Linked DNA regions of Rattus norvegicus. The protein of the gene in region 3 interacts with the protein of the main gene of each other region in a biochemical or structural test. Links are inferred from orthologs where the notes say so. Each region holds a gene or a part of one and is shown on either strand. Other genes may lie near its edges.

What was found. The genes of interacting proteins can lie anywhere in the genome.
Region 1: of the proteins of Prkcb (region 3) and Rasgrp3, one has a biochemical effect on the other in vitro, tested with the Homo sapiens proteins (2 studies listed by BioGRID). The link is inferred for Rattus norvegicus from reciprocal best matches to the Homo sapiens genes PRKCB and RASGRP3.
Region 2: the proteins of Prkcb (region 3) and Rack1 form a complex in vitro, tested with the Homo sapiens proteins (2 studies listed by BioGRID). The link is inferred for Rattus norvegicus from reciprocal best matches to the Homo sapiens genes PRKCB and RACK1.

The regions. Positions count from the first base shown.
Region 1 is NC_086024.1:25,675,225-25,679,864, forward strand, and holds part of Rasgrp3 (ras guanyl-releasing protein 3), read right to left. Parts: intron 3,392-4,640; coding exon 3,244-3,391; intron 1,980-3,243; coding exon 1,806-1,979; intron 1,404-1,805; coding exon 1,287-1,403; intron 1-1,286. UniProt on the Homo sapiens protein: Guanine nucleotide exchange factor (GEF) for Ras and Rap1.
Region 2 is NC_086028.1:33,673,277-33,677,398, reverse strand, and holds the end of Rack1 (small ribosomal subunit protein RACK1), read right to left. Parts: intron 3,877-4,122; coding exon 3,781-3,876; intron 3,478-3,780; coding exon 3,367-3,477; intron 3,149-3,366; coding exon 3,008-3,148; intron 1,937-3,007; coding exon 1,826-1,936; coding exon of another isoform or gene 1,742-1,825; exon of another isoform or gene 1,556-1,741; coding exon 1,490-1,555; 3' UTR 1,368-1,489; downstream 1-1,367. Other genes in the region: E3 ubiquitin-protein ligase TRIM41, read left to right, coding at 1-114. UniProt on the Homo sapiens protein: Scaffolding protein involved in the recruitment, assembly and/or regulation of a variety of signaling molecules. Interacts with a wide variety of proteins and plays a role in many cellular processes.
Region 3 is NC_086019.1:186,585,020-186,589,659, reverse strand, and holds the end of Prkcb (protein kinase C beta type), read right to left. Parts: intron 3,525-4,640; exon of another isoform or gene 3,438-3,524; intron 3,217-3,437; exon of another isoform or gene 3,093-3,216; intron 1,727-3,092; coding exon 1,568-1,726; 3' UTR 710-1,567; downstream 1-709. UniProt on the Homo sapiens protein: Calcium-activated, phospholipid- and diacylglycerol (DAG)-dependent serine/threonine-protein kinase involved in various cellular processes such as regulation of the B-cell receptor (BCR) signalosome, oxidative stress-induced apoptosis, androgen receptor-dependent transcription regulation, insulin signaling and endothelial cells proliferation.

The DNA.
Region 1 (4,640 bases), on a different chromosome or scaffold from region 3:
GGGGCTTCCACTTGGTTTGTTTGTAAGCAGTTTAAGACCAGAGAGGGCTGGGCCAACCAGTACACTATATTTCTCAGACAACTGCTATTGGTCCAGGATGGCCATCAGATGACTTCAGATGACCAAAAGGTAAAGAAAGAGGGTCTCTAATTAATAAGGGCAGAGTGAAAATGAGAATTCTTTCAAGAGTAAGAGTAGTTATTGTTCTGTTGCTCTCCAAAGCCCAATCAGGAGGGAAGGCAGGCTAATAACAGCAAGAAGGCAAACACGGAAAACTAAAACAAGTGAACAAAAGCAGCTACAAATCCCTGATACTCAGAAGGAGAAGCAACTGAGCCAGGCTTTGGTATGGTAACTCCTGGAGTCTGCCCTGCCTCTGGACTGCCACAGTTCTCAGATAATAGATTGCCCTATTATTTAATCAATTTAGATTTTTGGTTGTTTTTTTTTTTAACAACTTTAGGGTTACAGCAGCACACATCCTACTGCCCCTACAGCCAAGTGTTAGCCTAAGGGAAATACTCCTTTCTGATCAGTAAGTTAAACGTTTATTAGATTTGGTCTGCAAATTAATAGAGTAGAGGTATCTGCTACATTACTAATAGCAGTGAATGGGCTTTTAAAGGCACATGCTTTTGCTGGTGGCAGCTCAGTTATGAGTCTGAATATTTCTGTATAAGACCTCCTGCTTCCCCTTCCTCTGCATCTCCCATGTGCTACAGTGTTGTGACTAGAGTAGGCATCAGTGAATCCATTTTAGAACTCTGGGTATTAATTTTACTCATCCGGTATCTTCCACATTTATCGGAGTGCTGATCGCGTAGCGAGCACTGCATACATATTTGGTGACATTTATAATATATTCATCTTTGATTAGATACAACTTCTTCTTCTTCTTGTATTTATTTACTTACTGGGGTGGGGCATTGCATGGCTCAGCGTACAATCACCAATCAGAGCATAACTGTTGGGAATAAGTTCTTTTCTTCCACACATGGGTTCCAGGGATCAAACCCAAGTCACCAGATTGACGGCGAGCATCCTCACCTACTGAGCCATCTCACCAGCACGGACAGAACATTCTTAGGTAACACCAGCAGCAGCAATGCGGTTTTATGGGTAGGCTCGGCCGATGGGGCTATTCCCTTTCTATTTTGTACCCTATATATAACTTTGCATTGGTTTAAGATAAAAATTCTACCCTCCTACATAATGTATGCCAGCATCAGAGCACATCTCTGCAATCTATAATGCCTACTTAGAATTCAGATAAAAATCCACAATACCTTTGTAACTTCAGAAGAGAGGTGAGAATGGGTATCTTTGAGTCGGGAAATGGAGCTGTGACTAAGGCCACCAACCACAGCCATCAAGGTGTTAAAATTTTTTAGTTGAAGGAGTTTCTGGAAAAAAAAAAACAACAAGCAAACAAAAACCATTAACACTAATACTTGGTAAGGATTTTGAAAAATTGTTTTGAATTTCTCAAATTACAGGAACACAAGCACAATTTTAATAACAAGAATATAGAGAAAAACAATATATTGGTTTAAGATTAAATGAAAGTTGAATTCTCTAAAAATACAATACCAGTCATTAACACAATCAAGTGCTTCTAAGCATTGTCTTTTAGAAACAATCTTGCTATGTGAGAGGAATGTAGTTTATTCATTAGATAGCCATGCATGGTTTAATAGTCCAGTGCCGTTCTATTGCTAACACCAATTTCCTCAACAACTTTTCTCAATACAATTAATGAAATATACAGAATTCCCAACCCTGGTCTGATTGTGATGAGCGCAAACCTGTGCTACATTGATGAACTTTGTGATGACTTCCGCCCTTTGTTGAGCACTTGGTTTGCTAAGAACCATCAATTGGACCCACTTAGAGATTCCATTAAATAAGGCAATAGATCTCTCCAATGTCGGGTTATTCTCCAGGCAGCCATGAATGACGTAGCTCTGATAATCTGTGAACTGGGAAAAGAACAACGAGAGATTCTGAACTACAATGGACTTTTCACAATATTGAACTTTACCCAGTTGGATAAAAGTAGTAAGCTAGCCTTTCATAACAACATGGCGATTTCTTCCATTTTGCATTTATAAAGGTTTCTTTCAAGTTCAATCCTATATGCCTCTAACAGGCTATCTTACTACATTTCAAAACTCAGATACAAACACACAAATCACTGTGCTTTAGAGGAGGCGGAAGAAGGGGAAAAATGTAAAGTTATATTCCAGAGAATTCCAAGCTTACTGAACCCTAAGATCTATGTAGCCCATTATCCCAGGAAAATTAATGAATCAGACAGGTCCAGTATTTCTACAAAAGAACTAGGATTGCCATTTTCAGTTATACCAGTGACGCCAAAGAACAAGCACATTTAAGACACAATGGCACACATTAAAGAACAGGAAATGGATGGAATATAATACTCTCAAAAAAAAAACAATAAGCTTCTAGTATTTCAAGGGGAAAGGGGAGAAAAGAAAAAATTGCTTTAAAAAATAGAAGGAAATAAATCCATGTTCTAGCCAACAGTCATCTTGCTTCTTGGTGTGATTTACGTCAGGGTCCTTGGGAAGGGTTGATTTCACCTGAGTGCGTGAGATACATCAAAGTAACTGCTTGATGGAAGTAATATAAAGCAGTAGATCGTGACAAGGGTGGCTTGCTAAGACTGTAGCTGAGGAAGGAAGGAGAACAGAAGGGAAAAGGAGAAGAGAAAAGATGCATAGGGCGGAAAGTCTAAGTCAGGACTTCCATCTCTGAGAAAGAGACCGTCTAATGTTGAGACCTCCTCAAAGCCTACAACTCTTAATTCTCCACCTATTTTCATAGTTAGGCATTGTATAGATACTAAAGTAAGTTAACTCACTCCCAACCCTCACCGCCATAAATAAAAGGTCCAGCAAAACTGTTCACTTGGAGGAGTTCATTCAAACTAAATAAACGTTGAATGGTTAAGTCTCTGCTGAATATTTAGAAAAATCATGCTTTAATTCTATGAAAGGAGACATTGAACATAGCGGCAGAAATATAGCTCCTGAGCCATAAACTAAAGACAGGATAATATTTATATTTGGTTAAAAAGGATTGTTCTTGTGAATTGAGGGCACATTTCCAACAGAGTCCACTGGCAGAGGCTGCCAACCCTTGGGAGTATGAACACATAGCTCTTGGGAAAGTTGGCACGTTGCTTGTTACCCTTGGAAGAATAACCGTCAAGTTCCTTACCGAGATCCTTCTAAAAGATTTATGCTCCAGAAAAGTGAGGTGCTCAGCCAATTCAATGGGCTCCAGATGGTCAAATAAGAGACAGGCCTTTCCCCTTTTTGATACTTTTTTCCTCTGCGTGACTCTCCTCATCCAGTCATAGGAAGGACTGTGAAAGAAGAACAAGTCTGGTCAGCGTGCCGAAAATGCATTTCACTCAGTGGAAGATATTAACCTACTGACTAACTCTTGGCCTACTGCCAGAAGCATGTGTGAAATACAGGCCCTGTCCTCCATATTTGAAGAGAAAACCATCCACCCTTTGCCAAGAGACTTGAAGTTGTTTTGTCTAGGCACGATAGGTTTGCCCTGATCCATCCTAAATCTCTCACTTGATACTTCTTGTGACCAAGCAAGATCCGAACTCTAAAGAAAAGATCAGGGTTAGGCCTATAAAATCAGAAGTTTGTTGGCATATAGATGGTGATTCAAAGCTCTTGGAAACAGCCAGGATTTCGTTTTTCACACCTGAACATCATATGGATTATCTGGAAAACTCATTATAAAGACAAAGGCCTATATCTCACTTCCAGAGACTTTGATTTACTAGAAATGAACCTGAATGACAGGCATTGTAAACAAGCATCCCTGGTGAATCCTGGGTCATTTATTATCAGATTTGAAGAAACATTCCAGGCAAAGAGAATACCTAAGACAGAAAATATGTTTATTTGACATAGATCTGTAATCCTAACACTCAGGAAGCCAAGACAGGAAAAAATCATCAAAAATTCAATGACAATTTAGGTTACATATTGAATTTCAGACCAGCCTGCGATAGAATATATAATTGGAATATGGACAATCACACTTAGGGTCAAAACACTTTCCCTGGCAGAGTTAGCTGGTCTGTATTAAATGAGTCTAATTAGTATTAAGTCCCTAATGAAATAACCAGTCAGGGATACAACTATGGTCAACATTTGTGGAACTTCAGGTGAGCCTCTGAAGCACTAAGGTAGTGAGCGCCTCAGACCTAAAGGCAAGTATGAATCACAAGGAGATCTTGTTAAGGCATAAATCCCAATCCAAGGGCTTAGGCAAGACCCAAGACTATTTTCTGATGGAGTCCTAGGAGAAACCAGTGTGGTGATCTGAGTAGCTAAGGCATAGGAGAAATTGACTAAATTCAGAGTTAAGAAGTAAGTATTCAGTATCTACTGTGTGCCAAATTTTCTTGGGTTCTCTTGTGTACTTTTAAAACATATAACGATCCCACAAAGATGCCATGCCATTTTCCAAACAAACTACAGCTTGGAGAGATAGAGTGTATCTGGTATAGCTGTGTTCATTGTAGTCAGGCTATCTCCAAAGAAGGAGCTTCCTTCTAGAACAGTAGTGATTCCAGTCAAGCAGGG
Region 2 (4,122 bases), on a different chromosome or scaffold from region 3:
AACGCAGATACCTTAGCTCATGTACACACCTTCTCAGCTGCCTTTCTTGGCGAGCGTGTTTTTCCTTTCTTCCGGGTACTTTCCAAGGGTACCCGCATCAAGCTCTGCCCTTGATCAGCCTGCCACCCGCAGGGGCCCCTCTGGTCACCACTGGGGGGGCGGGTGGTGGTGGATGGTTGCCCACTGTTTGGGAGCCCAGACTCCTCCCACTGTTTGAGTTGCTTCCTGCTCCCTCTTGTACACAGGCTACTTCTCCCTCTAGGAGCCCAAAAAAAAAAAAAAAAAAAAAACAAAACCCCTCCAGCTCAGCCTTTTCTTACCCTTGTCTGACAGGTCTGCATGGGTCCCAGTAATGAACAGCTGCCTGATATGACCTTCCCTCCCTGTCTACCTAGCTTGGTCCAGCTCTGGGTCCCACATGTTGGAGTATGGAGTGTGTGGAGATTATTTAATGCAACCTTTTCCACCCCTACTCAACCCGTCATTTCTGAGGCTGGAGGGTTTGGGCAAAACACTCCCATGTTTTGGTGCAGACCAGCTAAGTTTTAGAGGCTCTGTGGGAAGTCAGACTGGGCAAAAGGGTAGTGCTGTGTAAAGTCTACTTTTCTTGGGGAAGTAGGAATTCTTAAGCTTTCCTTCCACCCCCAATTTCTACCTCCATAGACTGGCCAGAATTTAGCTTCAGTGAGATCTGGAATGGTCAGCATGACATCTCTACCATTACCCAATAAATTATTTTCTCTGTGCATCTTAGTTTTTTTCGTTAGGTAGGAGCCCAAGTCTTCACTGCCAGGCTCTCTTCCCTTTTCAGTGAGGTTTCTGGCCTCTCCATGCCTTTTAGTTACATGTGGTTAGCCCTGTTAGGGGAGCTCGGGACAGGGGTCTGGATCCTTGGGAGACTGTTGGGTATAATCTATTTTTCTAGTAACCCCTTGCCTTCTGACACAGCAACAGCTTTTGTCCTCTGCTTTGGTGGCTGAGGTCAGTCCATGTTCTTGGGGAGGGAAAGTGGGTTGTATTGCAAAAAATAAAAAAAGTGTTTATTTGCTTCTTTTGTGGACTCTATGTTTTCTGATAGAACTGTCTCTAAGTGCATTTTGCCTTGCAACATGCAGAACCAGCTCAGGTTTTCACACTTGCTCCATTCAGGATCAGGTTTCTGGTTATCAGCAGCCTGGGATTGAGGTTCCAGGTCTGCTCTGAATTGCTATGTTTGCATATGAATATGAGGTGATGAGGCCTACCCACTAGAATTAGTAAAAAAAAAAATAAAAACTTCCAGAATTACAGAAGACCAAGTTGATTTTTACCTATTAGTGATATGGACAGCTGATGTGTTTACTCATTTCTTTCAAGACCCAATCTCAAAAGATGTTTCAGTGGTTCAGAGCATGGGGTGCTCTTGTAAAACAGGGCTCAGCTCCCAGGACTCACATATAGAGGCCAATTTCAGAAAGCCAGTTTATTTCTAAGAGTCTGTCATAAACTTTTAGCGGGTACCAATAGTCACCTGCCATACACGCACCAAGTTGTCGGTATAGCCAGCAAACAGAGTCTGTAAGAAAACAACAACAGGGTCATGTCGCACCCAGCAATGAACTCTGTAGTCCAAAGAATTTAGGGCCCCTCTTTCATGTTAAAAGCAGCTTGCTACACATTCAGACATTTTTAAGCTTCCAGGTTTAAAAACTCCATTACCATAATCTTTTCCCATCCTAAATTAACCTGATTTGATTTCATTTTATGTTGACCTTAGTTTTGTGCCTAAACTTAAGAAAAAGGGAGACAAGCTGGGGAACTGAGCTGAAGGGCCAAATACACTTACCTGGCCATCAGCAGACCAAGCCAAAGAGGTACACTGGGGTGGCTCTGCCTTGCTGCTGGTGCTGATAACCTCTTGCTTCAGTTCATCTACAATGATCTTGCCCTCCAAGTCCTGAGGAACAGACCAAAACCCATAAGGACACCCACTACTCAAATAACAACTCTTAGAATCGTTTCAATAGAACTAGCAAGATGGCATTCCATGGGAAAGCTCCTTGCTTGGCAACTTAAGTTTCACCCAGAAACAACTGAGAAAAATTTGCCTATGGGCAGGCTAGCTGGGACTCACATGTATATAACCAGACAACGAACTTTTTTTTTTAAAGTTTACAACTCAGATTTCTGTCTAAAAGGGTTATTTTTCTTTCAAGGATATATTGAGTATTGGCCCTATACTCCACTAGCAAAAATCAATCATCAGGTCCTGATGACTCAGGCTTATAATCTGAGCTACCTGGGAGATTGAGGCAAGATTGCCAACTTACTGCAAATGACTTCTCTTTAAATAGGTGTGCACCACCCATCCACCAACAAAAATGTGCTTTACCAACTAAAAAGGGTGCCACTTTTACCTTGGAAAGGCTACCAATGTGTAAGGCGCAAAATCAAAAGGGATTCAAAACAGTTAAAGTTAAATGCTATTTATACACACTACCAACAGTTCAATATAGTAGTGCATACTCTTAATTCTACCCTCAGGAGATTAAGAGGCAGGCTATTATCTGTGATCTCCCTGAGGCCAGTCTACACAGTATGAACTTGTCTTTTAGTTTAGAAATCCTGTGACAAAGATTACAGAATTGAATCCAAGTGGATACTTAGCAGCACAGGAAGGACTTTTCTAAAATGTTGCGAGGAATTGAATTTGGATGCTCTACTGCATACAATGCTCTACACTTGTTGCCTTCATGATTTATGGCAGCTGCTTAACTCCTAATTATCTGGTGGCTAGATGCCACCTGCACTGTCAAAAAAGCCTCTCACAAGAGAATTACCTTGGCCCAAATGGCAATTAGAACACTCAATAAACTGCTGCTATACATGGGCATTACTTTTCATTAGGCAGATGTCAGCCATTGTTGCAAACTGTTAAGGGGGGTGCTGATAGCAACCTAAAGATGGTATCTGAGAAAGGTTGATTTCTACTAGTCAAGTCAATGACTATGCGCAACAGACCACTTACCCAGATCTTGATACTGGGGCCAGTGGCAGCACAGAGCCAGTAGCGGTTGGGGCTGAAGCACAAGGCATTGATGATGTCTCCACCATCTAATGTGTAAAGGTGCTTGCCTTCATTGAGATCCCACAGCATAGCCTGGCCATCCTGGGCAGATAGAAAAGGTTGAGTTAGGTATAGTGTTCATGGCTCTAAGTCCTTTCTTCTAATGCACGATACCTTTCTGTGCCAAAACCCCAACTTAAAAAGCAATCATCTTTAATATACTTTTCTACATATTTCAAGGTAGTACTTAGAAACTTTCCCACTTTAGTGCATGCTACCAGAGAAAAGCCTCTGGAAAGGAGAGGACAAGCCCCAAATACCTTGCCTCCAGAAGCACAGAGGGATCCATCTGGAGAGACAGTCACTGTGTTCAGATAGCCAGTGTGGCCAATGTGGTTGGTCTTTAGCTTGCAGTTAGCCAGATTCCACACCTACAAAACAGGACTCCGTGGGTGACCAGGACAAAGGTCTACACTCAACAAGAAGGGTACAGGGATCACTCAACAGGCATGCTGTGCAGGCCTATACAGTCCCAATACTTCAATGACTGAGATTGTTTGGATGGCAGGCCAGTAAGGGATACAGAATGAAACCAGGCCTCAAAAACAAACCACATCCCTAAAGTATTGAGATCAACCACCAAAAGCCACAGCCAAACTAATCTTCAGAATATCCCAAGTCAGAACGCATTATTCCCCGAGAGGAATGGCAACGTATTTCCCTTGCAAGCATACCTTGACCAGCTTGTCCCATCCGCAGGAGACGATGATAGGGTTGCTGCTGTTCGGGGAGAAGCGGACACAAGACACCCATTCTGAATGACTCTCATCCTACAAAGATGCAGGGGAAGGTTAAGAGGCGGCAGCTTATCTGTAAAGAGATCCGATGCCCTCTTCTGGTGTGTCTGAGGACAGCTACAGTGTACTTATATATAATAAATGAATGGATCTTTAAAAAAAAAAAAGAGGCGGCAGCTTTTCCCAGATTACAGATCTCTACTACACTTCCCTAAGAGGGGCAACGGCACTCCTGCACTCCCTTCTCAGAAGCACAATCTTTAGGCCAACAGACCAGGG
Region 3 (4,640 bases):
GCTTAAGGGCCTTGGGAATGTTCCTAGCTTGACTCTTGTGGGAATGTGGTCTCTGAAGTCTGATGGTATGGGAGGCTCCAGCCTGTCTATCCCACCCCATTCCAAGACATCAGGCATCCTGAATAGTCTCCAGGTCCTACTCTCTGGCTGGTTAATGCTGAAGCTAATAAAGATCCAGCTTTAACCCTTTTCTCTTGGATTCCTTCTTTAGAGCCTACTCTGAAGTGTGGGTCCTCCTTGTTCAAAGGGAACGTTTTTCTTTGAAATAGGTTTTCTTCTTTCCTTCCTTCCTTCTTTCCTTCCTTTCTTTCTCTTTCTCTTTTTCTTTCTTTTTTCTCCTTCTTTCTTTCTTTCTTTCTCTTTCTCTCTCTTTCTTTCTTTCTTTTTTTATATTGTATCTTGATGCTAGGAGAAAATTATCAGAACAGATACCGAAGTGCAAATAAACATTCCCACAAACATCTTGCAAAATGACATCAAACTGAAGAATGCACCCATCATGGTTTGGAGAGATGGTGTCTTTCTCAGAGCACACAATTACTTCTCCAACACCAGTGGTATATCTAGACAAGTCCCCACCCCACAGGCAGAACTCTGCTGGGTTCCATAGCCGTCTTCTTGGTTGAACAAAGCAGGGCATTATGGTTAATAACATCTGGACACAGATTTTAAAGCATGTGTAACAAAGTGAGTAATTTTTTTCTTTTTCTTTCTTTTTTTTCTTTTTGCATTTCAATGATGACAGAAATTAAAAAAAAAAGCAAGTAACATTTGAAATGTAATGTAGAATCAGGGTCCTTTAGGACCTTGCTAGAGTGACCATGTGGTTCTAAGAACAGTGCCAAATGTCATTCTGGAGTAGTTTGGGGGATGAGGGTACCACTATCAGACACACAGTATTAGAAACTACAGCAAGGTGACAGCACACAAGCTGGTTGCCTTCGACCCTGGAAGTGCTTTTAGATGGAAACTTGTCTAAAAGCGCATTCCTTTTTTCCCCAGGACTTAGATAATCTTCTTAACATTGAGTTAAAAAAATAAAAATAAATTTTTATTTTTAGCATGTTCTTTTCAAAGCTCCACTGCCTCCAGAACAGGCAGCGTGGAGGGATTCCCTCTAGGGCAAAGCAGCCATATACTTGGATTCAAGCCAAGCTCCCAGCCGGGAAGGTGGAAGAATGTTGCTAGCATTTGGCTCGTCTATCCATTTTGTAGGAAGGATGTAGACTGGGGGTCAGGGTAAAAATGGCAGTGCAGAGGACCAGGGAGAAAAGCAAGCATTTTCTCTCCCCTGGGGGCCTGTGAGCCGACATGCTAGGGATGCACATAGTAGGGCTCTGAGCGTGTCTCGATTATGCAGCACTTTCTACATGCCACCTGCATAATTCCATCTCCTCGAGATGCTCCAAACTACTTGAGGACATTTGGGTTCTGAAACATGGCCACTCTAGCCTCATCAGAAAAGAAAACACGGATGTAACTTGGCAATGGAAAAGAAAAAAAATGTCACCATGATAGCTGTTGAGCTTGAATGACAGAAATGAAGGACGGAGGTCTACAGATCTACTTAGCTCTTGACTTCGGGTTTTAAAAATTCAGAGTTAACAAAGGAAAATCCTTCGAATTCTGATTGGTCAATATTCCTGATGACTTCCTGGTCAGGAGGTGTTAGGACTGGTGGATGGCGGGTGAAAAACCGGTCGAAGTTTTCAGCGTTTCGCCCACACTATGAGAGGGGGAGAAAAGAACTTGTGGTGGGTGGAAAAAAAACAAAACAAAAATAAAAGCCAAAATAAAACAGAACTGAACGGAACCGGGTGTGGTTTTTCTCCAATCCCTTCCCTTCCGGAAACGCAGAGAGGCTGTTTCAATGATCCGAAATGAGAGCAATGTAAAATGCAAAATTCTCATGACCTTTGCTACACGACCTTGGGCTCCCAGCTTTTGGGTGCTGAATCTCTCAGGTCACTCCTGGTTTCCTTTTGGGAAGTCAGGAAAGGTACACCAAAGGCATGAGGAGGTGGGGCTAGCAGCATGTGGCATGTCCCCACCGAGTCACCCACCCCCAATGAGTCAGACAAGGCCATCTGTTGAAAGACATGAGATTAAGGTACTTCCCATCTTTAATGGGTGTCAGATGTCAAATAATGACATTCATACATCACCTGGAGAGCTCAACATTTATAGCAGCAGATCCCTTAAAGTGCCATCCTGCTGCTCTTGATCAGGAACTATAGTTGCTTCTAGCTCAACAGAATATAGTTTTCAAAATCAGCCAATGGAGGAAGAACCCAAACATAAGCTCTCAGTGTCACCACAAAGTCCCAGATAGCTGGATTAATCATTGGCCCTTAATTACAAGGTTCCAGAAGGTAAAATCACTCTCTCTCTCTCCAAATAGGAAGACCTGGTGTGGAAGGAAATTCGCATGCACACGCTAAACTCCTGCCCAAGGAGAGAGATGAACTACTATATCAGAGTTCTTGCTCTTGTTGCGTTCCCAGCATAGCCCATGTGCACAGACACCCTCAGGATTCTAGTGTTTACAGGAGGCGTTGCCGTTTGAATGTTCAGTGTCTCCCATATGTGTGAGGGTTCAGACACTTGCTCCTCAGCTGATAACATTGTTTTGGAAAGTTGTGACAGGCTTAAGAGGCGGAGCTTTGCTGGAGGAAGTGAGTTATTAGATGCAAGCTATGAGGTATCATACTCCGGCCATACTTCCTGTGTGCTCACTGCGTCCTAGCCACTGATGGGCTGTGACCAGCCACCGCACACTCCTGCTGCTTATCAGATATTTGATCGCGACGATGAGGAAAGTAAGTTATGCAGGAGGCAACATCAATCTAATTCTATTACAGTATCAGTCATAATAATGGTGGGTGATCTGTATTGTGTGTTTGCCACAGCTGGGCCCCCGGCACAAGACTTCACCCACATTATCTCTCAATGGCCTTAGGGAGTATATCATTACTGTGACTTTATTGAATGTGGAGTTCTATGTTTGAGGAACTGGTCTCCAGCTGCAGGTACTAACTTTAGAGGTTACAGAAACTTTGGGATTGTGGCTTAGCGAGTGGAAGTGGGTCACTGGGGGATTGAGGGCAGGCCTTGAAAGTGAGATACACTTCTGCTTAGGTCTCCACACTCTGCCTCCAGCCCACCATGATGTGACCAGCTACCTCACACTGCTGCTGCCGTGTCTTCCACATCAAGGTGAGCCAATATCCTCAGGAACTGTGGGTCGAAACAGACCTTTCCTCCCTTAAACTGCTTCCACCAGGGATTTAACATGGTATCAGAAAAAGGAACTGGGGTTGGGGATTTAGCTCAGTAGTAGAGCGCTTGCCTAGCAAGCCCAAGGCCCTGGGTTCAGTCCCCAGCTCCGGAAAAAAAAGAAAAAGGAACTAATGCAAATATTATCTCCCATTTCATAGATGTGGAAACTAAGGCCAGGAAATCAACTCCCCAAGGTCAAACTGCTAGCAATCACAGTGCGGGATGTGGAGCTGGATCCACCTACGGTGAGAGCCATGTTCTCTGCCCCCACGTTTACTAAGACAGCTGGTACAAAGTGGTAGACTGGAAGGTGTGGTGGGGCAGAATTGTGAGTGAAACCGTGGGTGCTGAGGTCTCTGCTTTGATTGACAGAGAATATGGTTCTCTCAACAGCAGGGCCAGGATGTGGGAAAATTCAGAAAGATGGTGATTTCCGTTTTGAGATATCATGGTTTTGAGAGGCCAGCACCCGTCTAGCTGAGAACCAGAGGGAGTCAGGTGTTGTTGGGCTCTGGGGAGAGAACTTGAAAAGAAACCTTTCAAATTGGCACACTGAGGAAGACATGGTGGATAATAACAAGAATGACCACCAGCCACTTCCCATGCAGCTGGCATGCACCGCATGGCTTTGTTCACGGCACCCTTTAAATCCATAAGGATAATCCTTCTAGGCACAGGTTTTCCTCCTACTGCCAATGATTAAACTTCCATCAACACTGTCTTAGAGCAAGCAGGGGAACCAGGAGAGAGCAACTCAGATATGCTAAGGACTGAGAGAAGCCACTTTGGGCAGATGCACTTTGGGCAGGAAAGTTTGCTGAAAAGGAGCCATTGAATTTGGCCTCTGAGAGCGAGCAGAAGGGACACTGGGGACTGTCACTGAGCTCCTGTCATCAGGAGAGTGAAGAGTCTCCACAGAGCCTTCGCAAAAGGGATGGGATGGGCACTCTGAGGAAGCCAGAGCTGAACAGAAGAGAGCTCTGGGTTCTGTGCCCTGCAACAGGGATCAGAACCTTGGCATCTGATTGCTTACTGGCTGAACAACTCCGAGGACATTTCCTCTTGTGTAAAACAGGGACAACTGTGGGTCTTCTCATGTGGGGTTGTGGTGATAACAACATGAAGTGACATGTGTGACAAGGGCCTGGAACTGTTTTCTTGTTTCCTTTGTGAGTCATCCCCGCAGTGCATGCTTCTGACAGGGGTTAGTTCCGAGCTACTCAAGTTTTAAATCCCGAAGACACAGGCTTGAGGTTTTAAAGCTCTTGTTAAAGCTCACATCTTTGTGAGGCTGGAAAGACGACTGAGTTCGTAAAGAGCTTGTCACTCAAGCATGAGGGTCTGAGCTCTATACCCAAGCA